Astyanax mexicanus: one gene and its partners. The protein of the gene in region 1 purifies or fractionates together with the protein of each later gene. This does not show direct contact. Links are inferred from orthologs where the notes say so. Each region holds a gene or a part of one and is shown on either strand. Other genes may lie near its edges.

Evidence for each region.
Region 2: the proteins of ywhae1 (region 1) and frmd6 purify together in Homo sapiens (co-immunoprecipitation; 3 studies listed by BioGRID and IntAct, with this or other methods). This does not show direct contact. The link is inferred for Astyanax mexicanus from reciprocal best matches to the Homo sapiens genes YWHAE and FRMD6.
Region 3: the proteins of ywhae1 (region 1) and kif1b purify together in Homo sapiens (affinity purification with mass spectrometry; 3 studies listed by BioGRID and IntAct, with this or other methods). This does not show direct contact. The link is inferred for Astyanax mexicanus from reciprocal best matches to the Homo sapiens genes YWHAE and KIF1B.
Region 4: the proteins of ywhae1 (region 1) and cep170aa purify together in Homo sapiens (affinity purification with mass spectrometry; 3 studies listed by BioGRID and IntAct, with this or other methods). This does not show direct contact. The link is inferred for Astyanax mexicanus from reciprocal best matches to the Homo sapiens genes YWHAE and CEP170.

What each region holds. Positions count from the first base shown.
Region 1 is NC_064425.1:15,960,786-15,968,782, forward strand, and holds the start of ywhae1 (tyrosine 3-monooxygenase/tryptophan 5-monooxygenase activation protein, epsilon polypeptide 1), read right to left. Parts: upstream 3,011-7,997; 5' UTR 2,760-3,010; coding exon 2,696-2,759; intron 630-2,695; coding exon 430-629; intron 337-429; coding exon 230-336; intron 1-229. Other genes in the region: adapter molecule crk, read right to left, coding at 7,768-7,905. UniProt on the Homo sapiens protein: Adapter protein implicated in the regulation of a large spectrum of both general and specialized signaling pathways. Binds to a large number of partners, usually by recognition of a phosphoserine or phosphothreonine motif.
Region 2 is NC_064414.1:38,906,365-38,913,352, forward strand, and holds the start of frmd6 (FERM domain-containing protein 6), read right to left. Parts: upstream 3,010-6,988; 5' UTR 2,609-3,009; intron 1-2,608.
Region 3 is NC_064420.1:40,775,585-40,783,394, forward strand, and holds the start of kif1b (kinesin-like protein KIF1B), read left to right. Parts: upstream 1-4,795; 5' UTR 4,796-5,033; intron 5,034-7,810. Other genes in the region: ube4b (ubiquitin conjugation factor E4 B), read left to right, coding at 1,077-1,223, 1,390-1,454. UniProt on the Homo sapiens protein: Has a plus-end-directed microtubule motor activity and functions as a motor for transport of vesicles and organelles along microtubules.
Region 4 is NC_064414.1:22,580,710-22,588,124, forward strand, and holds the start of cep170aa (centrosomal protein of 170 kDa), read right to left. Parts: upstream 3,002-7,415; 5' UTR 2,853-3,001; intron 1-2,852. Other genes in the region: sdccag8 (serologically defined colon cancer antigen 8 homolog), read left to right, coding at 5,165-5,228, 6,241-6,378, 6,876-6,964.

The DNA of each region.
Region 1 (7,997 bases):
AAGCCAGGAATTGTGGTCATTCTTTACTTTCATTTTGAGTAGTCAAACATTTCACATCAAATACAACTAAAAACTCTTAAAGATACAATCTGGTGGCACTGAAAAACATTACTCATTAACATTAAAATTAAATGTGCATTTTCATGTATTTTTTTTTGAGACCATAAAATCTAAAGAGTTTTTATTTAATTCAGTAACACCCCCATATGAGAAACAGCAGACTACATACATTTTGTAGTAGAAGACCTTGGACTCTCCTGAATTAGCAGCTGGAATTAGGTGCTTATCCAAAACATCAAGGATGTCATTGCAGATTGATTTCAGCTCAGTCTCAACCTGAACAAGACACATGGGAGACTGAGATGTAGAACCAGTCATACTGTCAATATAAAACTATCAGATATGGGTCAGGCGGAGCATACGCCTTACCGTTTGCCTGTACTCCCGGATCATTTTCAGTTTGTCTTCGCCACCCTTATTTTCTTCTTTCTGCTCAATACTGCTAATTATCCTCCAGGATGCTCTTCGTGCACCAATAACATTCTTGTACGCCACTGATAGCAGATTTCTTTCTTCAACTGTGAGTTCAACGTCCATGCCAGCCACTTTCTTCATGGAGTCAACCATCTCTGCAAAATCCAAAAGCAAATAATTAGCAGTTTCTCACTCAAACACATTTATACACAGAGAGCTTATGCCAAGCACTGAGGTACAGACACGTTTTCTACTTTCTACAATTAGTGAATGCAGATTCTCACCATCATTTAATACATATGATGTAGAAGCTGTTTGGTTTAATATGACTTCAGCAAACAAGTCAAAGTAAAAACTCACTCAAATTACTGATCCATGTACTAGAGCTTTTATTAGTATACACTCTAAATATAATTTCAGGGGTAAGCTTTGAAAGTTGATATCAGAGTTATAGATCTATAAATCCATACTAACTACACATATTGACAAGATTACTTATTCTTAGTATAATTTTGATTAGTCATAGCTATATTGCCACTGATTAGCACTAAATATTTCTCTGTGTAAAAAAAAAAAAATACTAGTGGAAATTGAAGATATCTGAATATCCACAGTGTAATTTTTACTTGTTATAAGTCCTGGGCCACATATCCATAATTAAATTGACAAGGACAAATATTCCTAATATAGTTTTGATTAGTAATAAATCCTAGGCATGTAATACTATACATTTTAACTAGCAAGAATAACAGTGTAGTTACCTACAGGTAAAGGAGTATACAGCAACAAAATTAAGAGACCACTTAAAAATGAGTTTCTTTGATCTTACCAAATTAAAAAATCTCTGGAATATAATCAAGAGGAAGATTAATAACCACAAGTCATCAAACCAATATGACCTTGTTTTCTTCTCCATCTTTTTTGATATTTCAGCCATTTCTCATTTTCTGCAAATAAATGCTCTAAATGACTATTTTTATTTGGAATTTGGGAGAAATGTGATGCGTAGTTTATAGAACAAAACAACAATGTTCATTTTACCCAAACATAGACATATAAATAGCAAAATCAAAGAAACTGATTGAGAACTAAAGTGGCCTCAATCTGTTCCAGAGCTTAAAGTTATAAGATAGTGAATTCCCATATGACTAGTCAAAACACATTAAGGATAGGCTGTCCTTGTAATAATGCCAAGTCATTGTGTCTTTATAAATCTGTAAAGCTTTTAAAACTTAAATTTAAAATATTACTAAGGAAAAAACTGAGTTATGACTTGCTAAAAAACGACTAGCTATACACTCGAGTACATTGTTGACTCTTTATATAGGATGTTAAGTAATCTTTAATGTCTATTTTCATGGCAACAACAACTGTTGTACTGGGGAAGTGAGTATAATCCTAGTTATTTAACTGGTTAGCTAAACTAACCTAGCTTTTGCTGAACACGGCATTCACATGGTTCACAGGAGGAGGGTTTACACAATGACTGCTAGCCTACTACAGCAGGCACATTAGGTTAGCTAGCTACAGACTAAACCTACAGTGTTCAATTCCCATTTTGGGTCAGTTTAGGTCACCCTCTGGTGCTTAACTAGCTAAATTAGCACCATTAATCACTTGTCTTTATAGCCACCCAAGTCAGCAGGCTTTATGAAAGCTATTTAACGCTAGCTAGCCGGTCTGCACCAGCATTGCTGCAGCGTAACTAGCGCTACAAGCTAGCTACGGTAAGCTAGGTTACATAGGCTAGCTTAGCTTAACCTGCGATGTTTTACAGCGGCCAGGCAGTCATTCCATCACACGCACACACCTGCAGGTTCGTGTGGTCAAGCTACCCGTAACCTATAATTAAAGCTATCGGGGTCAACCGGGGTGTAGAGGTCTCCACTGCTCCCTGCCTCGGCTAGCAACAGCCTGCCTCACCCAATAACTGTCCGCCATTTTGTCGGTTCCAGTACCGTCTCCATCTTCACACCGTCCCTCAGCGAATAATAACGGTCGAATTAGCCTCACTGGGTCTATATACAATTAACGCCAAGTTAAAGCACCTCTATCGGAAGGCAGTTCAGTTATCTATCCACCTCTCTCACCCCCAGCTCCCCGTTTTAATCCTAAACCTGGCCCCGAAGAAACACAGACAGACCCGCTAGCCCGCAGTATTAACGGTAAACGTTAGCATTAGCATTAGCCCAGTCAGCTTTCACCACAAAACACCGCTTACCGTCGTATCTCTCCGCCTGCTCGGCGAGCTTGGCTTGGTATACTAAGTCCTCCCGGTTAGCCATGTTGGAAAGTGTGACACGAGCCTATTCAGCGACGGATTCTCGGTAAAGGAGTGTGTGTAAAAGCGGCAGGCCCTCGTAGGAGAAGCAGCTGCAGCCTGAACCGTGTTGAAGCCCCGCTGTCCGCCGGCGCCACTGGGGCAAAAATGGCGAGAGAGGCTCATCCGGGAACTTCAGCCCTGTACAACAGAGGGCTGGAGGGAGCAGCCCTGCTTAGAGCACTTACTCCCTCCCTACCTGTCCTAAAGTTTACAGACACATACTGCAACATGCAGCTCTCTCTTAATGCAATTTAATTTCACATACTATAGAGGTCCTTCTCAAAAAAATTGCATATTGTGATAAAGTTCATTCTTTTCCATAATGAAATGATACAAATTAAACTTTCATATATTTTAGATTTGTTGCACACCAACTGAAATATTTCAGGTCTTTTATTGTTTTAATACTGATGATTTTGGCATACAGCTCATGAAAATCCAAAATTCCTATCTCACAAAATTAGCATATCATGAAAAGCTTCTCTAAATAAGCTATTAACCTAATCATCTGAATCAACGAATTAACTCTAAACACCTGCAAAAGATTCCTGAGGCTTTTAAAAACTCCCAGCCTGGTTCATTACTCAAAACAGCAATCATGGGTAAGACTGACGACCTGACTGCTGTCCAGAAGGCCATCATTGACACCCTCAAGCAAGCAAGGCTGTTCCCAGAGTGCTGTATCAAGGCACCTCAGTGGGAAATCTGTGGGAAGGAAAAAGTGTGGCAGAAAACGCTGCACAACGAGAAGAGGTGACCGGACCCTGAGGAAGATTGTGGAGAAGGGCCGATTCCAGACCTTGGGGGACTTGCGGAAGCGGTGGACTGAGTCTGGAGTAGAAACATCCAGAGCCACCGTGCACAGGCGTGTGCAGGAAATGGGCTACAGGTGCCGCATTCACCAGGTCAAGCCACTTTTGAACCAGAAACTGCGGCAGAAGCTCCTGACCTGGGCTGCAGAGAAGCAGCACTAGGACTGTTGCTCATTTTTTGCATGTCATCCGGAAATCAAGGTGCCAGAGTCTGGAGGAAGACTGGGGAGAAGGAAATGCCAAAATGCCTGAAGTCCAGTGTCAAGTACCCACAGTAAGTGATGGTCTGGGGTGCCATCTCAGCTGCTGGTGTTGGTCCACAGGGTCAATGCAGCTAGCTATCAGGAGATTTTGGAGCACTTCATGCTTCCATCTGCTGAAAAGCTTTATAGAGATGATTTCATTTTTCAGCACGACCTGGCACCTGCTCACAGTGCCAAAACCACTGGTAAATGGTTTACTGACCATGGTATTACTGTGTTCAATTGGCCTGCCAACTCTCCTGACCTGAACCCCATAGAGAATCTGTGGGATATTGTGAAGAGAAAGTTGAGAGACGCAAGACCCAACACTCTGGATGAGCTTAAGGCCGCTATCGAAGCATCCTGGGCCTCCATAACACCTCAGCAGTCCCACAGGCTGATTGCCTCCATGCCACACCGCATTGAAGCAGTAAATTCTGCAAAAGGATTCCCGACCAAGTATTGAGTGCATAACTGAACATAATTATTTGAAGCTTGACTTTTTTGTATTAAGAACACTTTTCTTTTATTGGTTGGATGAAATATGCTAATTTATTTTCTTTACTTTTTTTTGCCAAAATCATCAATATTAAAACAATAAAAGGCTTGAACTACTTCAGTTGTGTGTAATGAATCTAAAATATATGAAAGTCTAATGTTTATCAGTACATTACAGAAAATAATGAACTTTATCACAATATGCTATTTTTTTGAGAAGGACCTGTATATACATATACAGCTCTGAAAAAAATAAGAGACCACTTCAGTTTCTGAATCAGTTTCTCTGATTTCACTATTTAGGTATATGTTTGAGTAAAATTAATGATGTTTTATTCTAAAAGATTCATTTAGAGCATTTATTTGTGGAACAGCTAAACAGTCCTCGTCTTACCTCTCTTTCTTTTAATTGCTGAAAGAGAACACCAGATTTGCATTTAAAACATGCGTCATTACAAAGACAAAGCTTGTCACTACTTTAACCTAAACCAGACAGCTCACAAAATGAACAAAAAGCCCCCTTACAATAGCTCATTCTGTCTAGCATTATCTTTCCACCCAATGTTCATCAGATAACGAGACAGGTTTCTCTGTAGCAAAACTCATTTTCTGTGTTTTGTTTTTAGCCATAGATCCATTAAGCTGTATAATGATTTAGTAGAAAACATTTCAGTAGCTAATGAGTGTTTACATGCACTAAATAATCTGACACCTTAAGAAAATAACTGCTCTTTTAAAGGGTGTATTTGTATTATTATGCTATTAAATTATCACAATTCCTACAGTCTTAAAATTACTAATATAATTTATTGCAATTATGGGTTTTGATATTGGCCAAAAAGCGATCCATTGCATTGTATGAACAGTTCATGACCATACATATATGTTACAGATATTTCTTTATATGAATTCTAATTTTGGAGATGTTACATGGTTCAGATAAAAGTGATTATTCTGGCATGCCTTTAAAAATCACAGACAAACTCAGCATTTAAAGGGGTTAAAGTGGTTTACTATAGGAGTTAACTTCATTTCATGTACAGGAACAGGCTGATCCAAAAGAAAAAAAAAATTGTTGACCCATATTGAAGCTGTTCTGTGAAGGGCATTATGTGAACAAAAATGAACATCACAAAAAATATATAATATTACTCTCACTAATGGACTGTAGGATTAGACAGTAAACATAATACTTTAAGTACAAATAATAAAAATAAAAACATGGGCAAAGTTACATTTCTCAGTCAGTCAATCTAGACACAGCTTAAAGTGGCACTTATGATGTGCATTAGTAAGACTTTATCCTTTTTACCTTGCGATAGAGAACAGAACACTTTGGAATGATGTTGAAGCTGTAGTGTTATATTTAACAATGTTCATATTCATTTTATTTGGCCTTTTAAACGTTTGGAAATTGGAAATACTTATTTTTTTGTTTGTTTCATAGCTCAATGGACAAGTAGCCCGTTAATAACAGGACTTGAGTGACAATCTGGCTGCTTGTCCTGACTAGTTATTATTACTTCATACCCAACCTTCATATTTCCCGCATGATAGAAGCTTAATTCTTTCAGGTGATTGTCCTTGTTCAAGTGACAGAACGTAAAACATAGCCATTCAAAAAACTGCAAACATGATCAGTGTAGTCTTAACTATTTTCTGATGGTAGTTCCATTAGTGTTATGGGTTTGTTCGTCAAAGCAACATTCACATTACATGCCTCAATAATCAGTTCTGATTTTGCTCAAATCGGTTTTGGCCGTCTCGATGCTTCACATTCATAAATGTAAATGATCTGTAGTTATTTGTAATGTGAATGAATTTGTCCCTGAACCAACAAGCATGTGCACAAAGATATATTTACGCACGTTTTCAGATTCCGGTTGGGAGACAGAATTCAACTAACAGCAGTGCTGACTGATGAAGTGTACACACTACAGATATGAATCTGATCTGAATGTTCCATTTTTCACGTTCCAACATACCGGATATATATCCAGTAAGTACCACATATAGAGAAACAATAGGAAGGAAGAAGAGGGGGAAAAAAACAAAAACACTCAAATCTGATCTGGCACATACAGGCAAAAAATCTGATTTTGAGTCACTTCAGCTTTGTAATGTGAACACGACCTAATTCAGATTCATACATTTTCCCATACCCACAACTTAATGTTTAAATATGAACTACAAATGTTTCAAATCACAAATCTTGCTTACAAGTCCTTCTAGTACAGTATTTTTAACTTCCCAATCTGGTTGTCAGACTAGATTAGACATTATCTAATTCAGTTTTTGAACTGCAATAAAGGCAAACTGCTGGTTAATGGAACTGTGTTATATCACCTCCTAGGAGAAAATCCCACTATGAAGCAGTGATGCATGATCACAAACATTATTTAAAAAGAAAAACACTAATTCAGCTGGAGCACAGACACATAAAACAATTGTAGATGAAGGCTACTGTTATGTGCAAGAGTTTTAGATAGGGAGGTGTTTGAGGCATTGAGTTAACACTTTACATGTAGTGATCAAATCTTACAGTGTATATCAAAGTAGTAAAGTGAGTTGTTCTTGAAGCATCTGCACATGATAGCATTTTAGGTGGATGTTGTAGAGAGGTTTGTAAGCACAATGTTTTTATACATTAAACCCAATGAAAGACTTCTTTTTGCAGGCACACAAGTGGAAATATATCATTATGTGTGCTTTTATAAAAACTGATTGGTGTCTTCCAAATTAAAAAAAAAGTCTTCATTGCCCAGAATAGCTTCTCTGTAATGACCAACAGGAAATGAAGGGGACACTTCTTTAACTAACAAAAGTCAATTGAAGCATTACTGTGTGCACAAAAACAAACGGTTAAAGGAATACAAATTAAGCATGTAATAGTAAACATTAATATGAGCATGATCAGTATTTCTTCAGACACCTTTTATGGAATCACATGGCAGATGATTTGTAGTGTGATAAAGGGCTCAAACTAATCCCCTTTGTAGCAGTCATCTTTTAGCAAATCAGTATGAGTAGTGTATGCTACTCAAATGCAGAGGAACAGTCCCTTACAGCAACACCCCACTGCTTACATTTAGAGTCCAAGCAGATATCTCTTCTCTCTCAAACTCACAATATTTAGGCCACACTCCAAAGTTCCGCTTAGGATAACCTATAGAGATGTCCGTAGTGTTTAGTGTCTACTTAAGTAACTTCAAATGGTTGCATAAGGTCTAATAAGGAAATTACTGCAGATAGTGTATATATTGGCATGAACGACATGATGGCACGAAAACAATGAGCGGATAGACAGGAAAAGGATCTAGTAGAAGAGGCTACTGCTGGGCATGTCAGTTATGAGGAGATGTGAGGAGAGTGTGTGTGTGCGCGTCTAAGGGCTGTACAGGGAAGTCTGTCTCCGCTCTCAGCTTGGGTCATCGTCTGCGTTGTGCTGATCCAGTAAGCGGACGTGCGTGAAGGGAAAATGGCCCCGTTTTCCCTTGCACTCTCCCTCCCACTGCCCATTTACGTTGATCTTGGTCACCATCACCAAGTCGCCAACCTAAAGCAGAGCATTGAGATCAAAAAAGGGATGTAGTTTAATGTATTTTGCTGAAATGTGAACAGTACTAACAAGAAAATACTATTGATCAG
Region 2 (6,988 bases), on another chromosome or scaffold:
TAACACAAACCCCAACAGTCGAAGATTATTCTTATCATCGAGATCAAATTCAGAATATTTACACCACACTTTCAATCCGAGGTGGAAAGTTTAATCCAGGCTTTAAAGTTCAAAAAGGACAAAGCCACAGCTTTAGTGGAAAAAACAACAAGAACACACACCATCCCAAAGCCAGGATGTTGACATGATGAGGATCTGAATGTTTACATCTAATCAATTAGGAGCTCTGCTGTAAACATGCCACTTTATTTCAGTGCCCTCGTACAAAACTAACTTAATTTCAAAATGATCTGATTTCTCTTATTATCTATTAACTCTTACACATATATTCCACATACCATAATATAAATAGTGCAGTAGAAACCAAGATATACAGTCAGACGCATCTTAACAACAGTATTGGATGAGACCTTGTAGCTTGTAGCTTGTTGAGAGTGGTGGTGAGCTGCAGTGTACTACTATTACACAGAGGAAATAGTGAACATTCCTCAGTCCTGGAGCCATTTGGTCACAGAAACCGAGTATGGAACAGGGGAGCAGACACAGACAGAGTTAGGGACAGAGGGACAGAGGAGGGGGGAGAAAGAAAGAGAGAGAGAGAGAGAGAGAGAGAGAGAGAGAGAGAGAGAGAGAGTGAGAGAGAGAGAGATAACAAGAAAACCAGAGCATCCAGAGAGAGAAAGAATTTTAAAGAGGAAAGCAGAACATCGGGAAACAGGACTTAAGAAATGTACATCATTAGATAAATTGACACTACCTGCACATACTGTACATTGTCCTCACTTATAGTCTAATTTAGCAGTACAAATTAAAACAGTTCTTTAGATTTACCATTTAGATCCAACTGGTTCAAAATATCTGATTGAAATTGATCAACATTCCTTAGTGGGTTTACATTAGCCAGTGAAACAGATAGACATAACCCAATCCTACACACTAATATTACCCAATTCTAAATGTTAGCATTATCAAATTGTGTGGGATACTATTATTTTACTATTGTACCTCTATGTTATTACCAGTTATTATCTATTAACATTACCAGTACCTATGGGTTAACATTACAAACTCTTCATGTTGACATAACTAGAACCTATAGGTTAAAATTACCAAAACATACAGCTTAATATGACCTAATTCTATAGTTTAATGTTACCAAAGTCTTAATGTTAACATTACAGAATTCTTTAGGTTAATAGTACCAGTAACTATGGGTTACAATTGTTAAATCTTATAGGTTAATATGACCGATTCCTAAAGCTTAACATTACCAAATCCAATTGGTTAACTTTACTAATCCTTCTTATTAACTTTACCTAATATCATATATAAACATTGCCAAATGTTAGAGGTTAACAGTACCAACATTATCAAATAATTTAGGTTAACATTACCAAATCCTTTAGGATAACAGAACCACTATCTTTAGGTTAACATTACCTAACATTACCTTTAGGCTAATATTATCTAATCCTATAGGTTGATATTAATTCTATAACATTACCGGGTAATATTGGTTAACATTAACAAATCCAATATGGCATCATTTATCATTAACAAATGCAATAGGTTAACATTGTCAGATCAAATTAGATTACATTACCAATCCTTGTGCATTAATGCAATACAAGATTGCTTTAAGATAACTTTAACAAATCATAAAGGTTATCATGATTTTTCGTGAATTTATCTGTAATATTTTCCAGAATATCCAGTATATTATCCAGCTTGAATTAAAATCTTTTACACCATTTTTATGGGCTAGATTATCATCACTCAATTCTACAGGGTTACACTATTTATATGTGTAGTTAGTTAACATTACTCAGTACTATAGCTCAGCAGTATCCAGGACTATTATATTCTGCTTTTCTCAGAGACTGGTATCAATGAGAGCTGGATGTCCACAGAAGATGTCCACACAGGACGTTTTCTTTGCCTCTTTGATGTTTTTGCTGCTGCATGGAAAAGTTGGAATTTCCACACTGAGCAGACATATGAGCAGTTATAACCGGTCACAGAGGGAGTGAGAGACTGAGACAGTATCCTATCCGCTGTCCTCCTAGATTTAATGAACTTACGCTATCTTCTCCAGACTCTTGTCCTGTTAAAGTGGAGCAAAGTGCGCGGCTGTGCGAACCGCAGCGTCTCACCTTACCAAAAGCAGGCGGACTGGTTCCATCAGGGATTCAGCATGAAACACCCAACTTTCAACTGGAGAGAGGAGAAATCTCCTTGTTTATATTGTTCTATTTAGATTTACATTTTTCATTTTTTGCTCTGTGTCACTTCTTATGGTCAAAAGTATACTTATTCTATATGCACACAAGAGATCATCTGGACAGGAGATGAGCCCACAATTCTCTTCTCCCTCTAAACAGCTAGTTACAGCTATCCTCTGCAGTCATATGCGCCTGATGAGTGCCAGTTTCTCCATACTGCCACGTTGAATGTTCAGACATGTGGGGATCTGAACTGTTTGAAGCAGCAGTCCCCCTTCACCCCCTCACCCCCTCTACTTCAGATTCTGCAGCAACCCTCTATACTAGTACTAAAGGGGAATAATAAGGGCTAAGGGATGATGTGAACTAATATTAAATATACTCACCTTTACGAAAAAAAGATCAGCCAATTCCGTTCAAGACAATTTAATCCAAAACGAGCCCAGTTAATAGCGTTAATCCCGTTTATACGTCCCGTCCAGCATCGACTGAGAGTGGAAAACTGCAGCAGCAGCTCCTGAGAGCTAACAACTCACGCTAACATGTGGAATTGCTGGGTGGAATGACCCAACTGAGCAGAAACAGGGGGTGGTAAAAGTGTGGCAGTAAAATACCAGGACAGGACCTCAGCTCGCGTTAACGCAGGACGCCTTTGAAGAAGCAGCCTGTGTTGTTTGAACTGAAGATATGAGAAAAAGTGAGCGTGCACTATCGCCTCCCCCAGTCCAGCAGATCTTGGTATGCTCCACGGCTGCTTGTCATGCCATTCTTCCCAACTGTAGCAGTGCAGGAGGGGGGAGCCATGGCGCCAGCAGCGGGACCTCATTGCAGAGGAGCGGGGCAGAGAGGGCGTGACTCAGTTGGGATAGGCTCATTGCCCCTATAGCTGAATAGTAATAGACTGATGTAGCTAAACTAGAGGGTGTGTTTTACTGTAGCCTAATGAATCGCTGCTTTTTGTCCAGGAGAGGCTGTAAAAAAAGTTTAGGAAAAAAATAGTTGTTACAAAATTTCCCTTCTGCTCTTTTCACAAAGAAGTATTCATTTAAGTTTCCACAGGAGCTACTGTAGCTAATTACCCTCCTGAAAAAAACAACCCTGACCAGACCAGCACAGGGTATGTTTTAGATTTTGACCAGCACACCAACAATGATCAGGATATGTCATCACATGTGGTGTCTCATATAAGCTTAAAAAAAAGTAGATGAAACAAGTAAAGGCCAATAAAAGTCTTGGTTAGGTAAGAAGACCCAGTACAATATCAAGGAAACTACCTGTGAAACTACATGTGAATAGAGTTTGACACATTACAGGGCAAAACAGTGACATATAAATTAAAGCTGACAGTATGGGTCATTGGGTGCATCATTGGACAGCGTTTTTAATCCTGATGACTTTTCAGAAATAAAAAAGCTGATTCCTGTACAGGTCAAGCAAAGCTGAAACATTCCCAGGAAAATGAAGTCGTTAATGTCCAAGGATTTGAATGGCAAAGGGTCTAACGACCTCTATTGTGTTAGTCTTCACTGCAGAACTCAAGAATCAAACTTGAGACACAAAACACTGGCAGATACACTTACTTTGGGGTGTGGGGATAACTGAAGTGAAAAACATTTTTTATTGGTGAACCATTCTTTAATACAACTTAGTCAGCAAAAAGGAATCTAGCAGTTTCACTGCAATCTTTAGTATTTGTGCCAAAGCCTGTGTTGGTTTAGAAACATCTGTGTTGAAGAATACTCAAAGAGCATTTGTTCTGCTAAGAGAATTTGTTGTTGGCCATAGGAAAGTGCTGGGAATGCACAGGTGTGACATTTTCCTTTCTCTAGAAACAGCCTAAAAAAAGTAAAATCAACAGCCTCCTTCCTGAGTAGACCAGAAAGGCTTTAGAAACAGATCTCATAAAGTATTTATTCACAGTAGTCATAGTACTTTGTGTTCAGAGAGAGCTTTCTAGAATCAAATTGCAAATACATTACCATGACTTGAACTGCCTGGGGTCATCTCATTCTGTGTGTGTGTGTGTGTGTGTGTGTGTGTGAGTAGCTGTTCACAGTTCACAGCTAAGGAGCTGAAGGTTGCCTGCTCCACAGAACAAAACAAAGATGAAGACAGATTAAATATTCACCTTTCACTAATTATGCAATATTCTTACCTTTACAAGTGTATGGATTTGTGCTCATAGAATCTATAACTGCCCCTAACCATAACCAGCACTTCACGGGGGTAAATAAACAAAGATAACAAACAATCTAAAGAAATTTAATTCACATTATGTATGTATGTACAGTACTGTATGTTTATAGAATTCCTCATACCCTTAAAATCCAGTAGATTTTTGCATTAGATCAGAACATTCACATCTTCTAATAACGAATCCCCTGTATAAATTGTGTAAAAAACATTAGTTTAATGTCAGAAAACTACATATGTGGGGTTAAGACTAAATTCCTTCTAAAAAAAACAATCGTTGAATAAGGCCCATGTGTGAGGAACATCTTGAAAAGGTGTCTAAATTCAGCAAAACATTTTAAACTAGAAGCTCTATAAGCAACAGAACAACATCTATGTATGTAAATACATGTACTAGTAATTTTTATCTTTTAATCATATTGTTTTAGTAGACAAAATGTTTGGCATTAAAACATGCTAATTAAATGGTTTATATAACAGTAATGAAATACTACTTTAAAAGTGATGGATTATTTTACATATCTACCTTTATCCTTCTAACTTATTTATTTACTGATTTACATTGATTACAGTTAGTAACTATTTTTTCACAATTAGTTGCTACTTTTTTGGTATCAGTAGAAGGTTAAGTAGACCTATAAAAGATTCTTCACACTCAAACAAACACACACTACGACAAACATGGTTCCTCAGCAATAGGTTATACTATGACGTTTCTTGAAGAATCACATGAAACACCAAAGTTTTTTATTTGAACAGACAACCCATTTTTACACTGTTCCTCATAAATGATTCTGAGACTTCACCACCACCATGTGTCACCATCAGATCAGGTTCACTGGTGCCATCATGAACAGAAGAGCATCTGCTGATGCCTATCAGTCTCAGGGTCCCACTGGGAACCAATGGGGTGGGGGTCAAAGGGAGGTAACACACCAGGTCAGAGGCAAGAGTGGCAAGAGAGGCACTCCTACAAACTTCAATGAGTGTGCTAATTCCCACCTGCACAAATACACTGTACCCACACACACACACACACATACATACACACACACTGTTGTTGCACCCAAACACACAGTGTTGTGTTGCTGTCCCCAGCCTCTTTCTGCAGGACAGATGGTGGAGGAGTAAGTCTACACCCTGAGGGAGGACAGAGACAGAGGGTTTGGGGAGGGGAGGGGTGTAAAGCAGGACTAATGAAAAATAAACAAACTAAATGACATGATTCCAGGTCACAGCCCCGTGAGAGTGTGTATACCTGCTCTGCCCAGTAGCAATGGGGAGTTCGTTCACACGTGTGAGAAGAGGAGAAGAGAGAGTAGAAAGCAAACAAACAAACAAGCATATGTAATCCACACACACACACACACACCACTCACACGGGCCGTGTGGTCAGTGTAGAAGGGCATGGCCAATAAAACCAGAGATGCTGCTCTCTTGCCAAAGCCTGCAGCTATTCCGAGCTCTCCCATCACGTGTGTTTGTTTGCCTTGACCTCCGCCAGTTTTAGGTGCGGAGCCATTTTGCAAAGCTGTGAAGCACCAACAAACACACATACAGGTTTGTTTACAGAAAATGTCAGGTTATAGAGTTTACCTTATATTGGGGGTATGTGTTTTACTACATATGAATTTCCTAAGCCTGACCATAAACGTAAACAATTTTAAACTCAATATACAAATATATTTTTTTAGGTTTTAATTGTTAAAGAATATTATTTTACTTTACATTGTTTAACCATGTAGACCATTCTTATGTAATGTAAATGAACGTCGCCTCGCTTTGCCAAACATTCACACAAAGCAATCCAGACTGTTCTTATACAGAGTTCCCCAATGGTGGAACAAACTACCTTCTACTACCAGATCAGGAGAATCTCTTGCTATCTTTAAGAAACTCCTGAAGACAGAGCTCTTCAAAGAGCACTTACTCTTCTAACACCTCTAACACACTAACTACTTCTAACCTCATTTCCTTCTTCCCCTCCTTCACTCCTCTATCCCGTTATTCCCTTTGACCTCCTTTAGGCCCTATCTAAAGATGTTTTACATTTAACTTCTATTACTTTTGTACTTCACTATTGTAAGTCACTTTGGACAAAAGCGTCTGCCAAATGTAATGTAATGTAATGTAATCTTATTGTTTACAATATTATTAAATATTTTTCTGTTATTATTTAGAAACTATTGTGAATTATTTATAATATATAGTTTGGTTGAGTATCAGTTTAGGACCCATGAAAGTGATGTTAAGTATTGGGTAGTAGAGCTGTGGCAATTCGCTGATTACAGAAATGCATCAATTTGCTAAATGTGAATCAGTGCATCAAAAAGATAAAGATGGCCTCATCCAATGAAAACAAACTGTATTCCAAACCTCACACAGTGTGCACTGTTTAAAAGAAGTGCATAAGTAGAAGTGTAGTAAACTACATGCTGTCTTTATATCATTTTAAATAAATCAATAATTACGAATCTTTAGATGAATTGACCAATCAGAAAAAATCAATGTTAGATTAATCTCTAAAATATTGATTAGGTGCATGTGAGATTATGACAGCAATGTATTTATAG
Region 3 (7,810 bases), on another chromosome or scaffold:
AGCAACTGAAACTCATGCTTTTCCAAAATAGTGATTTCTTGGCATGGGCTATGCTATGCCCCTATTGCTAGCATTGTAAGCCTGTTTGGAGCATAGGTGGCCTATTCAAAAAGTCCATTTCCCACTGGATTTCTCCTTTAAGAAATGGAAGTTCAGGGGAATTGTGGAGGTCGAGATGAGATCTGAAAGAATTAAGAAAACTCTCAGCAAGAACTGCTCATATGCTGACAAGACTGGCAAATCAACGCCCGTATGGCTACCCAGGATCAGCTTAAACATTCAGTGAAAATTGTCAGAAAGTGTGGTACTGATCATCTTAAGAGGCTGAATTACTTTTTAGAGTGATGTGGACTCTATATGTGGACAAAATACATTTTGAGATAAAATAAGAACTTCATTTTATGAAAAGAACACCTTACCAACGGTGTCCATATAGTGTGGATTCACTTCTATGCCTCAAACATACCAGCACCTCTACTCAATTATGGTTTCTTCTGAAATCAAGGGTATTAAAACAGGTTTTTCCTGCTTTTGTTGGAGTAACTGTCTCTAATATCCAGAGAAGGCTTTCTACTGGAGTTTGAAGCATTGCTGTGAGGATTTGACTGCATTCAAAAACAGGGTTTATGAACCCTCGTTAGTGGGGTCAAGTTATTGATCAGCAGCCCAGCTCATCCCATAAGTATGGGATGAAACACAGTCCTTCCAGAACACTGCTCCATAGTTCAGTTTAGTACTTCTGTAGCCCAGGCCTGGCAGAGAGTCGTATTCTATTGTCAGTACCTCTGTTCAGGAACTAAACATGATGTGTGTCTGCCTTAGCTTAACCCATTCCCCCGTTCTAGTGCACTACTAACATCAGCATAGGCTGTGTGTCAAAGGCAAAAACCTCTCTGAGGCAGCAGCTTGTGGCTTTCAGTTCAGGCCTACCTCACATGCTTCACATTTTCAGTCCAGATGCCAGTTAATTCTCTTGTGACTTGAGTAAATGACTATAAATGTCTAATAAACTTGTTGTCTACCTTAACACTGAGCGTATCCCCATCGTTTGTTGATTCTTTTTATTATCCTGACAGACCCTCTGATGGACACTCTCATGACTGACCCTGTGATATTGCCTTCTGGAAACATAATGGACCGAGCCATCATCCTGCGCCATCTCCTCAACTCGCCCACCGACCCCTTCAACAGACAGCCTCTCACTGAAAGCATGCTGGAGTCAGGTACAAACCACCGTTTTACTCATCAGATAAACGTCTGAATTTAACCTTATAGCATGTCTGTTAACACACCTCTGTTGTTAATAATAATAATAATATTAATAGTATTAATAATAATAATAACAATAACAATAATAATAATAATAATAATTAATGTGTTTCTCTTTAGTTCCAGAGCTGAAGGAGCGTATTCATGCGTGGATGAGGGAGAAGCAAGGACGCTTTTCTCAGTGAGCCACACTTGCAGCCAGTTTAGGATGGTTTCAATATGGAATTTGACTTGGAACAGATTGAAGGGAAGAAAGCAAAGAAGAAAAAAAAAACTGTCATGAAACCTAATTTGAGTTTTTTCCCTTTATCATTTTTTTTGTTTTATTTTGTTTTTTTTTCCTGGGCCGTCAAGGTAAAGGCTGTTGGTTCTAAATTGAAACATAATAATAAAGTTTAGACTTTTAAAAGGTTTTGCTTATGACTTTGTGTATATTACATAAATGCAGATATATTTAACTGAATTGTTTCATACCAAGGTTTTGAAAGATTAGGTTTTCAACCTGGAAAAATCAGGTGAGAAATACAGATACAGGCAAAATATTCTACAAATTGTAATTATTCTGCTGTCTGATGTTCTGAAGCTATTGTGTTTGGCATTCAATATTCCAATTTAGGGAGACCTTTCATTTAGAAAGAAGCGCAGGAAACATTTTCCTGAATTTTTCTTTAATTATGTTGCGAATCTACATAAAATTAAATTAAAGTGGATAAAACATGTTACTATTAAGGATTGGCCATAAATTTCATGTTACGTTTATGAAAATGTCTATCTATACATTGTTCTGAAGGTGGAGAAACTGTTTAAAAAGAGCATACTAGATCATCTTTTAGTACATCTAAATAACTGTGTTGATTTGCTGAAGAAAAAAATGTCAGTGCATCATCAAATGATGACTGAATCTGTACTGAAAATGTTTTTTTTTTCCACTGTTGTTTACTTTAAATGATCATATGTGAATGGCCTACAGCAGTTATTAATAACTGTGGTTCTGGAGGCCCACTGCAATGTACATTTAGTGCTTTTCCTGCTTTAACATGTACCCACTTACACCCAATAATGGCTTAATAAAGCTGATTTATGAAATGAGGAGTGTTGGGAGCAGGGAAGAACTAAACAGTACAGGGCAATGGGCCTCCATGACCAGGGCTGAGAAGCACCAGCCTACAGCACAAGGCCACCCAAACACCACCTTTAACTTTATTTTATTTTTATTCTCGTATTGTTAAATCTAAAAAAGCTGAGCTCAGCCGAAAGTAAGTAAAGCAGCTTCGATAGCATGATCGTCATGAGAAAAGTGCCACTGAACCAAATGTATTTTCTTTAACGTACACGGTTTTATATGCTGAGAAAGTTCATCAATCCAGCTGTTTGTATTAATCTTTGGTTGTTGGAGCTCACGCTGAATTATGAATGTCATTTTCCTGAGACATAAACATTTAACTTGACAGGAATTAGCTTCCTTTGCTATGAACATTTTTTGAACCCAGGACAAACTGTAATAAATGGTAATGCACTCGCACAAATAGCTGTTGTAATTGCATTTGTATGTAGCTAGTTCATAGTTCAAATAAGCTTTTAATAATTTTAATTGTGAATTTGACACAGAAAAGATACAAAGGTATAGCCAGTTATTAAAATGTACTGCTGTAATGAAGTGCAACCTAGTGCACAATGGCTTCTCATTGTGTTTACTTAGATAAGATGCTCTGATAGTAGTCCCACCTCAGGGAAATTTTCAGTTACAGCAGCAAAAAGCAAAGGAAACAAGATAGAAGAATCAATGAATCAATCATTTAATCAATCAGTCAGTCAAGGGTTATTTACACTTAGAATACATTTGAGGATGTTCCTTGTGTACAATGCCGCCAGACATCGAACTGAAGAAATTAGTATATAGAAAATAAATATTAGATTCAAAAGTACAGCAGGACATAAAATCAAGACCATACATTGAATAAATATAATAATAAAATAAACACAGGGTCACAGACCCTTTAAGAGATGTAGAAATTTCCTTACAGCACTTTGTCTGTCATTTTAACTCATAAACTTCTTAAGGACAGTGTGTGAATGTGAGCTTAATTATCTGATCTTCTTAATTTACAGAATGCAGGTGTGCTGAGTTAGTGCTGGAGATAAACGCAGCTCCTTTTGAAACTGTACTTTTAGCTTCTACAGGTCTGTTCCAACCGTTTAAACCATTAAAACGCTTTAAATAAATATTGTGTGTTCCATATAATTGGTTCAACAAATAATACAGGTATTTTAAAACCTTGTAATATACAGTCTTGTGCCCACAATAAGAAATAAACTAAATTTTGTATCAATATTCAGATTGGGTCTGGGCTCTTATGGATTTAATTTTAATAAAATCAGTGAAAAGTGTAAGAAAAAATGTGAAAAAAATGACGCAGGTATTAAAATAATCCAGTTATAATTTATATAATATAATATAATATAATTGATAGTTGGGTATAAATTAGGTGATTGAAATGGTTTTGGGTGATCGCTGTAATAAATTTCAGTTAGACGCAAATATTCCTAGTTCATTAAAAGCTGTCAGCTTCTATAAAAAGACAATAAATAGATAAATAAGCAAACAAGCATTATAAAATAATGTAGGTTGGAGTGCAGTCCTGGTAACCTAGTGCTGGAGAAAAAAAACTAGCTCATTTTAAAAGTTTAGATTTTAGATTTATTTTTTGGTCTGTTTCAGCCATTTAACCATTAAAACGCTTTAATAAAATGTTTTAGATTCTATAAAACTGGTTCTGACAAATTCGAGAACAAAGCGTTAAAATGCAGATCATAAAAAATTGTTGTAATTTGTGTTACATCAGGATTTTAACCTTAACATATTTACAGTCATGTTGTCACAATAAGAAGCAAACATAAATGAGCTGATCACTGACATTCCCCAGTTCATTAAAAGCTGTAGGCGTCTATAAAAAGACAATAAATAGATAAACTTGGAGTGCAGAAAGAGGGAACAACAGAGCCAGTATAAAAAGAACATGTATAAACAGTTCATTAAAATATGTCAGCATCTATAAAAGAAGACAATACATAGATAAATAAGCAAACAAGCATTATAAAAGACAAAATGCACATGGGAAGTATGAAAAGCTGTATAAATATGGAATGTTGCACCAATAAGAACATTGCACCAAAGCAGTAATATAATCTTAGACCCTGTGATTTGATTGCAGATGCATCCTTTTTGCAGCAGACACTCATTTCAGCTGCTAGGCGGCGTCCTTCCCGTGTTATTTGCTCTGCTGTAGTATTTATTTCTCTATTCCTGCTCTCCAGCATTTCCATGCCATGGCACAGCCTGCCTGCAGGAGCACGGAGCCATCCTGCAGTAAGTATCGCGTCACACGCGGCCCGCCCACTCTCCACGCTTCCTTGACACTGATTGGCTAAGCCGTACGTCACTCAAAGGATTCTGTCACGCTATTGGTCCCTGCAGCTCTGGGTGAAGGCGGTGACGGGGCGGTTGACGTAATGGTTTCAGTAAATCAAGGCATTCAGCCGTGTGTTAGCTAGAGCTGGAGCAGCGGCAGCGGGAGGAGCGGCACCAGAAAACAGAGCTGAAATCGACGCTGTGGGAGAAATGCTGCTATAATGGGTGTATATAGCATATGTGGAGTTTTTAAACATTTTTCTGCCGGCCTGCTCTGATCGTTGCTTCACGTATAAAGACGTTTTAGGCTGCATTTTCCCGTACTTGGCTTTGGATTTCCAGAGGACTTGAGGAGGTGAGTAACGTTAGATAGCCTACCTAACCTAACGCTAGCTAAAACTGGATAACTGCGTTACAACAGCTGTTTTAGCGTTATTTTAAATCGTTAACATATCTATATTGTTGTTTTGTGGTTTATTGGCATGCTGCAGTGTAACTGTAGCGGTTAGCTAACCTAGCTAGGTTAGCTATTTAACGGTAAACGGCTCGGACTGGAGGACACACGGTGTTCTGTCGGGTTGCGCTCTCCTGTCAAATCGTGCCTCTTTGGCTACTTAACCCTTTCAGACCCTGCACCCAGTACAATGGACATCATGTATTTTCTTCATTTTAAAACGTTTTGTTGCTCATAAAACTATTTGAGAGCTGTTGTTTATCAGAATAGGTAATGAACCAGCCAATAAACAAGTTTATAAAACATTAAAACTGTAACTTGGCCCTGCCCACTGCTCTGAAGAAAAAAAAAAACAGTAGTCATTTTTACTAATTTTGTGATTTAGATTTAGAGAGTTTTTTAATCATGTATTTAACTGTTTAAGACTGATTTATGAAATAAAAAGGTCAATATGAAATAGTGAAAATATTACACACAGGCTTCCAATGTAATGGAAATGAAAAAAAAAATATTTTTTTGGTTTTAGTTCATTCATTTACTGTATAGATTTTATAGTAGAATATTAGAGTCTTCTTTTCTGTGCGTTACAAACAGAAAACCGCTTTCTTACTTTTTTTCCAGCCAGAGCACTGAGATAATTCAGGCCTGAAATGGTTAAACACTACTGTAAAACAGTGTCTAGCTAGTTAAGTAGTATATTTAGTATATAAAGGGCAAACAACATTTTATATGGAAGATTAACTAGCGTAATTGACATATCTTAGTATTATTAGTTGATTTGAATTGCTATATCACCTGTTTAGCACTTAAGCAGATGAAAATAACAACAGTGAGCTTGTCATATTAAATGTTCTCACTCGAGGAGAGCAGACAACTATTAAAAATATTTAGAATTATGTGGCAGCGCATGCGCAGAACCGGGAGATACTACAAAACGATGGGTAGCACAACTCGACAGAACACCTTGATGCTAATGTTGACGAATGTCAACGAATCTTGGTTCGTTTTTTTGTTAAAGCAACTAACTAGCAGGGTGACATGTCTAAGAGGTATTAAAATGTAGCTATTTTTATCACCTTAATATTCATAATTCCTTTTTTATTAAATCGTAAATAGATGAATTATTTATTGTTAGAAAAATGGGTTAACTAGCTTGATGGGTTACATATTAGTTTTTTATTTCATAGTAACAACTATCCACAACTAACAACTAAGTATTCAAGAAGTAACATATAAAATAAAAAAATAATAAAAATAAGCTATGCCTATTTATCTATAATTACTAGCTGAAACAGACATACTGTTACATTACATTACATACTAATTCTTTCCTTATATTTTTAAGCAAATTCACAAATTGTCCCTTCTGTTATTGTATAGTTATCTAACTATTTTTGACAGAATTTCTAATTATTTCATTTTTTTGGATGCAATGTTAAGATGCCAAGGCAAATGATAGATTAGGCAAGTAGTGTTTATCCTTATTGCAGCCATTATAGCTAGATAATAAAATAGCTGTAATGGTTATTAGGCCAGTCCTTATTTTTTCTATAGGTGAAATAAATGGCACTTATAGCTATAGCTAAAGATGACAGTGGAAAGCTGCATCAGCTTTTTGTTTTAACTATTTATGTATTAGTTAGCTACCTTATTCTATAACGAAAGTGACTCAAGTCAGAAGATAATAACAGTAGAAGCTCAGGTTGTTGATATAGATTAGTTTAGCTAATCTAACGTTTGTTAATTCACATGGAAGTCACATTAAAATATGATGGGCTTTGCTCCCAATCTGTTTTCATCTATCTTTTTAGCTAACTAGCTAACCATATAGTTAATGTAGCCAAACATGATTTTGTTGGGTAGATTTAAGCAGGAAATTGTGTTTTTTTTTTACATGTTTAAAGGGTCAGTGACTGCCACAGTCCCTTTCTCTCCCTCTTTTGTGGTGAACAAATAAGATAGTTGGGTGGCTATGATACTGTTGTTGCAGGTCTGTGGCCCAGTCGGCTGATTATTTCATGGGCGTATGCCGGTGGAAAAGCTGGCTGTGTTTGTTAGCTATTAGCCAACCTAGCTAACCTACAAGGGCAGGAGTGAAACCATCCTTATTTAAAGGTGTTTAAGGGTCATTAGCTGCCCGAATGACAGCACACAGTGTGACCATCATGTAGCAGAAATGATACAGAAAGAGCAGGAGGGACAATGGAGCTTGTTCAGTTTTTAGCTTACAGTTAAATAACGAGGGGCTAATGCATCGCTGTTTAATAACGCTGTGATTTGGGTTATTGAGATAACCTAACCTTCCTGTCTATATAGATAGTTAGTTAGCTAGTTAGATATAAGGTATCTATCCTCGTTAATGGTATATATACGATGTATAGGGTGTAATAATGAGGAGAGTGGTGTGATTAATAACAGTAATAATCTCTCCAGCTGAGCTGAGCTGGAGGAAAGTGGGCCCATCCCTGCTGCAGTTTACTGGCAGCCATGTTTGAGGCGGAGAGGAAAGCATCTAACGGTGAAGCTGTTAAAAGATATTCTGAACAAATACGAGATTATCTGCTATTCCTATTTTATGTTTCTGATAAATTACATTCTGTATGGTTATGCTCTGCGTTATGAAGCCATTTGTGTGCGTGTGCGTGTTTTGTATCTGTCATCCATCTGTCTTTTATATA
Region 4 (7,415 bases), on another chromosome or scaffold:
AGCTCATTAACTAGCATTGACGACCAGGATCTTACAATTTTGTGTATAATAATAGGTTTCACTGATATTTTTGACACTATGAACTATGAACATCAGAATCCTGTAGAATGTATAAGTTAGGCTTAGTTACACACATGCTGTACATTTAAACTGCATAGGACTTTAATTATTACATTGTAACAATTATTTTCAGTTAATGGAACAATATTTTTTTCTGCTACTCAGTGATATTAAGCCCATTAATTAAACCTTATTTACACTAATTAACACAGAGAGACAGTTTACTGCAAAATGCTGTTTGAAAGTAGGCTATATTTTCCAAATTGGACTTAACTATAACACTGACAAAATTATTTTCAGTTAATGGAACCATATTTATTTCTGCTAATCAGTGTAATTCAAACATTACAATGATTACATTTTGATTTTGATTACATTGTATTTTGTAGCATCTGACAGCTTCAGGTTTACTGATTACTGATTAACTAGTGTTAGCTTTAAACTAATCATAATATTTCATTTCTGTGGATGTATTTTGGTGTTTGGGGTTCACTAAAACCTCTTTCATAAACACTAATAATTCTAAGCAGAATCCACCAGCAGCTCCTATTATTGTTAGAGTAATGTAATTTAAGTTTAATCTAGCCATTTTGACTATCATAGAAGACAAAGGCCTAAACTCATTTTTCAGAGGCACACTCAAAACAGAGGGCCTGTAGTACCAGGTCTGCCTTGAAGCAAAGATAAATAGGCCACATTTTACAAGCACAACATTTAAAAAATCTAAAACTTGTTGCTAATCTAAATTACAAGGACCCTCATAGTGTCATCTAATAGCCCAATGCTGCGGCCCAGTAAAGCACAGTTTCAGTTTGAGAGAGGAGAGCATCTGGCCATGGGAGAAAGCATGGCTCCTGTCCAAATATTCCAGTTTGAGCAGTAGGAGGGAAAGGAGAAGGTAGTCTGTCCCCCATTGCTTTGCTTTGTTAGACGTGTTAAACGTTGACGTCCTGTAGCTAACTGTTATCAGGTTTATATGTTCCAGTTTTCCGATGTTTCTTACTGTACCTATATTGTTCGTATTATGTTTATTTTTTACCAATACTCTTAGCTTAGCTAGTTAAATATATATGGAGAAATTAATGTGAGCGTAGCTACAGCCTGTCTAGTCTAACTCAAAATAGGTAGAACTGAGAGAAAGGAACTGAAATAAATAAATGTATACAGCACGAGTCCCACCGGGATCCCCCCTTTATCCAGCAGCACTCAGCTAACCTAGCTGTAGCCCTGTGGACATGATCAGCAAAGTCGAACCGGGGTTTGCTTTGTTATCGCCGGTTATAGCTGCGTGTAACCTACAGTGTACTACAGTGTATTAACACTAGTTAGGTTACCGTTTAGTAACATATTAATAACTAAGGGAGCGATGTTGTGTAAAGAGCGGAAGCTATCCAGCGGGTTCACTGAGGCTGAATGGAAATATTCAGGCCAGATGTAGCCAGGCAAAAAGACAGACAGACAGAGAGAGAGAGAGAGAGAGAGAGAGAGAGAGAGAGAGAGAGAGAGAGAGAGAGAGAACACAAAGGGAACTCGACCAATGCTTTAAATTGTGTCCTTTAACACTGGTATTCTTAGGACATCTCTGTAGGGCATGAGCAGCTAATAATATAATACACATTTTAAAAATACGATATCTAGGTTAGGTAGCTATACTTCTTAACGCCCTGTTACCATTAAATGAGAATTCGCATTAACCACATTAAACCTACCCAGCTGACACACAACCGACCTTTAACATTAAAATGTGGTTGAAATATGATTGAAGTAATGTCTGTTGTTGTTTCAACGTTGAAACAACATTTAATGCTAAATGGTTGTGCAAACGTTAACATTTTTTACGTTGAATCAACATAATGTCCTTAACCTTCTGCCTTTTGAATGAACATTTTACATTTCATCACCATACAATTAAAAAACGGTTGGATAGAGGGAGGACAAAGTAGTTTTACTTCCATTTGCAGGAAATTCTTAAAAATTTGGCACCAATTCTTCACCATATCTGGGGGTATATTAATGTTCAGTTTGTTTTACTGTGTTTATTAACACTCTTAACCAAAGTATTTTCTAGTTTAAGTGTGCTATGGTTTATTAAAGGTTAAACGTACAACGTTGAAACAACGTTGCCATATCAACGATAGTTCACTTTTCAAAATCAACACCAAATCCAACGCTGATTCAACCATAACATAAATGTTGATTCAACGTTGAAATGCCAGCTGGGTAGGATTGATGGATGCCTGAATGATACTGAAAGACTGATCTTATAATTTAGCTAGCAATCCATAGTTAAATAAATTACTGAAATCCACTACACATACGTAAACGCGTGTTTTTCATTATTACAAACATATTCCAGATGTTTGAAACGTTTTGCACATATTCAAAACCCACGAATAACGTTACCCACAATCAAATCAGGATCTCTGAGCCATGATGCTGCCACAGCTCTGAAAAACACAGATCTGGCATGCTGATTGCACACGTTGTGATGCTGCTTGAAGTTCTGCCGGCCGAAACGCGTCTCTGCAGCGAATTTTACACCATTAATCTAAAATAGAACTGAATTCATCACATATTGCTCTATGAAGAACATCCGATACGGCCTCGAGTCAGTAACGTTAGCGTTGCTAACCTAGGTTATAGGAAAGGCAAGAAAAACGTTTTTTAGACACGCCAACAATAAGCTAGCGTTAACGTTGCCCTTGCTGCCGATGCACCATTAAACATCCATCCATCATTCCGAAAAATATAACTAGCAATATAATATTGATTGACATATTACTGTTACTCACCCCTTTCTGTTCCCCTTTTTGTGCAAAGATCCAATTCAGAAGCAGCCCAACGGTTTTCAGTGCCCTGCCCAGTATGTGCTCCTACGTCTCAGTTGCTCAGCAATAACGTTATTCCTAACAAATAGCGGCGACCTACGGCAGGCTGGAATCAGGCAGGCAGGACATCATAGCCAGAGCCGGGTTATTAAGAGCCCGCCCACTTTCTATTCTCTCCGTTATTTCAGTCAACGACTGCTAACCTCTAGAGGGAGCGCGTGAGTGAGTCTTTAATAAATGAAGGAGAATGGAGCTAAACGGCTTAAAACTCAAATTAACAATAGAAACGAAATACTTATCCGGATTTTCCTTTAATTCCCTGAAGATTTTTTTTTCTCTGCAAAAACTAGAAAAAGTATCTGTATGTTTCCAATTTTCTACATCAAACAGTTTTTAGGCAGTAAAGATGCTAGCGTTACTGCTAAACAATGCTAAATAGCACATTTAAAAGGCTTATACGCTTTAAAATGATTTCTGTGGCACTGAAACATTTAATATTTTTCCATATTAAAGAAAATAACTACATTTGTCAGGATAAAAATAATAAAATATTTATAAATTTAACATCTTTGATCGCAAGACCCTACAGCCAATAGTGAGGAGAGCTTAGAAGACCAGTCTCTCTGCCCTCTATCACCGACATCTACACCACACGCTGCATTCACAAAGCCACCAGCATTGTGGACGAACACACACATCCCTCATGTGGACTCTTCGAAGATACCGGAGCATCCGTGCCTCCGCTAACAGACTGTGCAACAGCTTCATCCACCAGGCAGTCAGACCTCTCAACACACAGAGACGGAGCTAAACCCGCTCATCACACATCCAACACACTCAAGCCCAATTTATACTTCTGCGTGAAAACTACGCCATAGCCTACGTGTATCCAGGGAGAGTGTGCTATGCGGAGTGCGCTTATACTTCTGCGTGCACATATCAGCAACTCTGTGTTGCTCTGCCCTTAGTCCTTAGCCCTTAGTTAAACCACGAAGGCAGGAATGTGTGGGAGGAGATGCGAGATGTCCTCGTCACACGACGCGTAGTTACATTTGCAGAGAGATGCGAATCGAGCTATGGCGTAGGCAACGCCGTAGGGCACACAGTGAAGCTTAGGCTACGGCGTAGGGTATGGGGTGACGCATAGGCTACACCGTAGGTTCGACTCAAAAGTATAAATTGGCCTTAACACAGAACTAAACTGAACCCCCCCACCTCTCTTCACGCACAAACACACACACACACCGAAATGTCTATATCCCTATTAGCAATATTTGCTGCTTCATTTCACAAAAACTAGAAACTCTCTATCTCAGTTACTGCTGTGATCATGTATGTTCTATATGTTACAGTATGTTACATATCTCAGCATATTATTCTTAGTATTGGTACTGCACTGTCCTGTCTGGTAAACTGTCTGTTGTCTTGTCTTGTCTGTTGTTTTTATTGCATTTATTGTAGTGTTATAGTTTTATGTTACACTTTTGCACTTTATGTTGTCTATTGTTTTGTTGTTCCATTTTGCACCATGGTTCCAGAGTAACATAAATTCAATACACTGTGTACTCAGGTGTGATGACAATTAAAGCCTGTTGACTTGACTTGACATGATAAACTATGATTTTGCCCAATTGCTCCATATAAAACCATATAATTTATGCACATAATCAAAACAAATACATATACAGCGCCCTCTAGTATCTGAATTTAAAAGTGACAAACTGGGGGAATACATTCTCGAGTGGGTCTTCTCCTCGCTACAGGCTCTCTGATATTACAGCAGCGCCAGCGTCTGCAGTTCCAACACAGTCCAGTGGGCGTGGCCTCAGCGATGTTGTCATCGCGCACAAAGACGCGTACCATGTTTTAAAAACTGTATTTTAAATATAGATACGGCGATTTTATTGTAATACATACATGTTTGTGATTTTAGACAATGATTTACGCGAAAATATGATTGCGTTTTTTGTCTTCATCGTTCATTAAAATATTAGCATCTTCCAATGTGTAGTTTTTACCCTCGTTATCCCCGTTCTCAGTATCAGGGAGGAGGTCACCGTGGGACTACAGTTCCCAGCAACCTTTGCGGGGACGTTGACGGAAGTTTGACCTGTGATTCGAGTGTTGACGGTTAGGGACTCAGTCACAGGTTGTAGTTCTGCAGAGCGTTGGGTTATTTTAATAATATTATAGATTTTTTAGACGGGACTGATTAGAGTTTGTAGCAGGTGATTAGGCACACATGTTCTGACGAGCTTCAGTTAATCCAGGCTAAAATGAAGCCGTCGCTGGACTCGGACGAGGAGGAGGAACTGGGAGCTTATCAGAAGAAACTGAGAGGTGATGCTGCTTAACGTTAATTAACTAAAATTAACGTTACGTTGCGTTGAACAGAAAATAAACATGCCCTTAAAATCCCGTGCGGTAGACGTTTTAGACCGTTTTTAATTATTTGCATGTTCGACTGCTAAACTAACTAACCTAGCTTTGCAGAAAAGTAGCGAATTATTAGGTCAAATCTAGTGTTGTGGTTTAATATAACTTAAAATAGTTGTTAAATAAAGTAGTTTTTAAATAAAGGCATTTCATATGCTGCCTCAAATGCCCAGTGAATATACATATGTTCTTTGAGTTAAACCGAAATTTTAAATGAATCTTAATTTTATCTGAATGCTGTCTTTTCTTACAAAATATTGTATATATAAAAATACATAAATATATGCAGTACCGGTTAGAAGTTTGTATACGCCTTCTCATTCAGTGGTCTTATTTTTACTACACTGTGAATAAATACTAAAGTCATCCAGACTATGATGAACACATAAAGAATCATGCAGTAAGAAACAAAGTTGAAAAAAGATTTGAAACTTGAAATATTTTTTTAAAAACTGCTACTGTGGTTTTATTTGTAAAATTGTTTGTTTTTTACTAAAAACAAAGGTACATAGTATGATAACCAACAATTGACACTGTGTTATTCTTACCTGATACGTTTCTCTACAATGCCTGATTTTACACCAAATACACTTGTTTTTTTTTCTTTATTCATTTTTGTCATTAAATAGTCCCAAAATTTATATTGTTTTTATTATTATTTAAGCTGTGTAGGGTGGAGTCAGCTAAAACTCTTTAAACCCCAAATCACCACTGGCATATCAATTATGCATGCTCCCCTGACATTTTCATAGCATAATAAAAAGAGTAGCCGATATGCTTTGTAGCTTTACACAGACTCAGATGTTCGAAACAGTGTAAAGGGTTGCAGTACAAAACTCTGTTGTTGCTTTGTTTCTTGTAATCTTGAGTGTGAGACACTTCAGCAGTTTAATCTGTATTTTATATATTGCCCCAGAGCAAGCCAACCGCAGTATTCAGCAGCTGAGCAGCATGCTGGCAAACCAGAGCTCTGAATCCGAGGCCTTGGAACAGGGAAGCAGTGATAACAGCATGCAGGACAGCTCACAGCAGCATGTGCAGCAGAGTGAAGCAGGTATGCCTCCGATCCATAGACAGTTAATGCGAAATATGATAAAATGTATGTATATCAGAATATACCATAATCAAGCATTTATTTATTTCAGACACATTATTTACACCCATCTTTTCAGCTTTACTGAGCATATAGGACATTTTGTAGAGCTACAATTACAGGTTGTAGTTCTTCTATTTCAGTGATGAGCTTCTGTCTCTGACTTTACATTTACACGCTGGAGCAGCAGGGTAGGACTGTATAATAGATTGGACATTTGTGTGTTTAAAAACTCCAGCAGCACAGCTGTGTCTGATCTACTCCTACCAGCATAACATATATTAACACACCACCACCATGTCAGTGTTAAACAACAGGGTGAAACGAGAAAAATCACGTATGCAGAGAAACAGAGGGCAACATTCTGAAATTATATATATATATATATATATATATATATATAGTTGTCAGTTGTCAGTTATCAGTTGTCAGTTAAGTTCTCTGCTTTTATTTTTCAGCCAATCAGCTGCGTTCTTTGCTTCAGAAACAGCCCCGAGAATCACAAGTTCCGTCTCTTTCTCCTTCAAAAAGGAAATGTGCTCTCAAGGTAGGTTACATGATTTAGGTAATAAAGCATGAACCAAGAAGACTAGTAAGTAATAGCTCTCTTGTAATTTTGCATATTTACACACACACACACACACACACACACACACACACACACACACACACACACACACACATATATATATATATATATATATATATATATATATATATATATATATGTATTGTCTAGGAAAGCACAATACAATTAAATTGTTGTTTCTTAAGGTACATACAATAAATAGGTATGCCTCTTTTACTTTCCAGGAAGAAAAACTGAAAAAATGCATAAAAAACAAACATGTAAATATGCCATTCTAGTGCTAAATGCAAGAGTAAAATGTAAAGAAATATAAAATACCTTATTGTAGTTTTAAATTGGAATCACTTAATCTGCTGAGTTTTAGTAAACTTTTCTTCAGCACTATACAGTATTACCATTAGCCACTAAC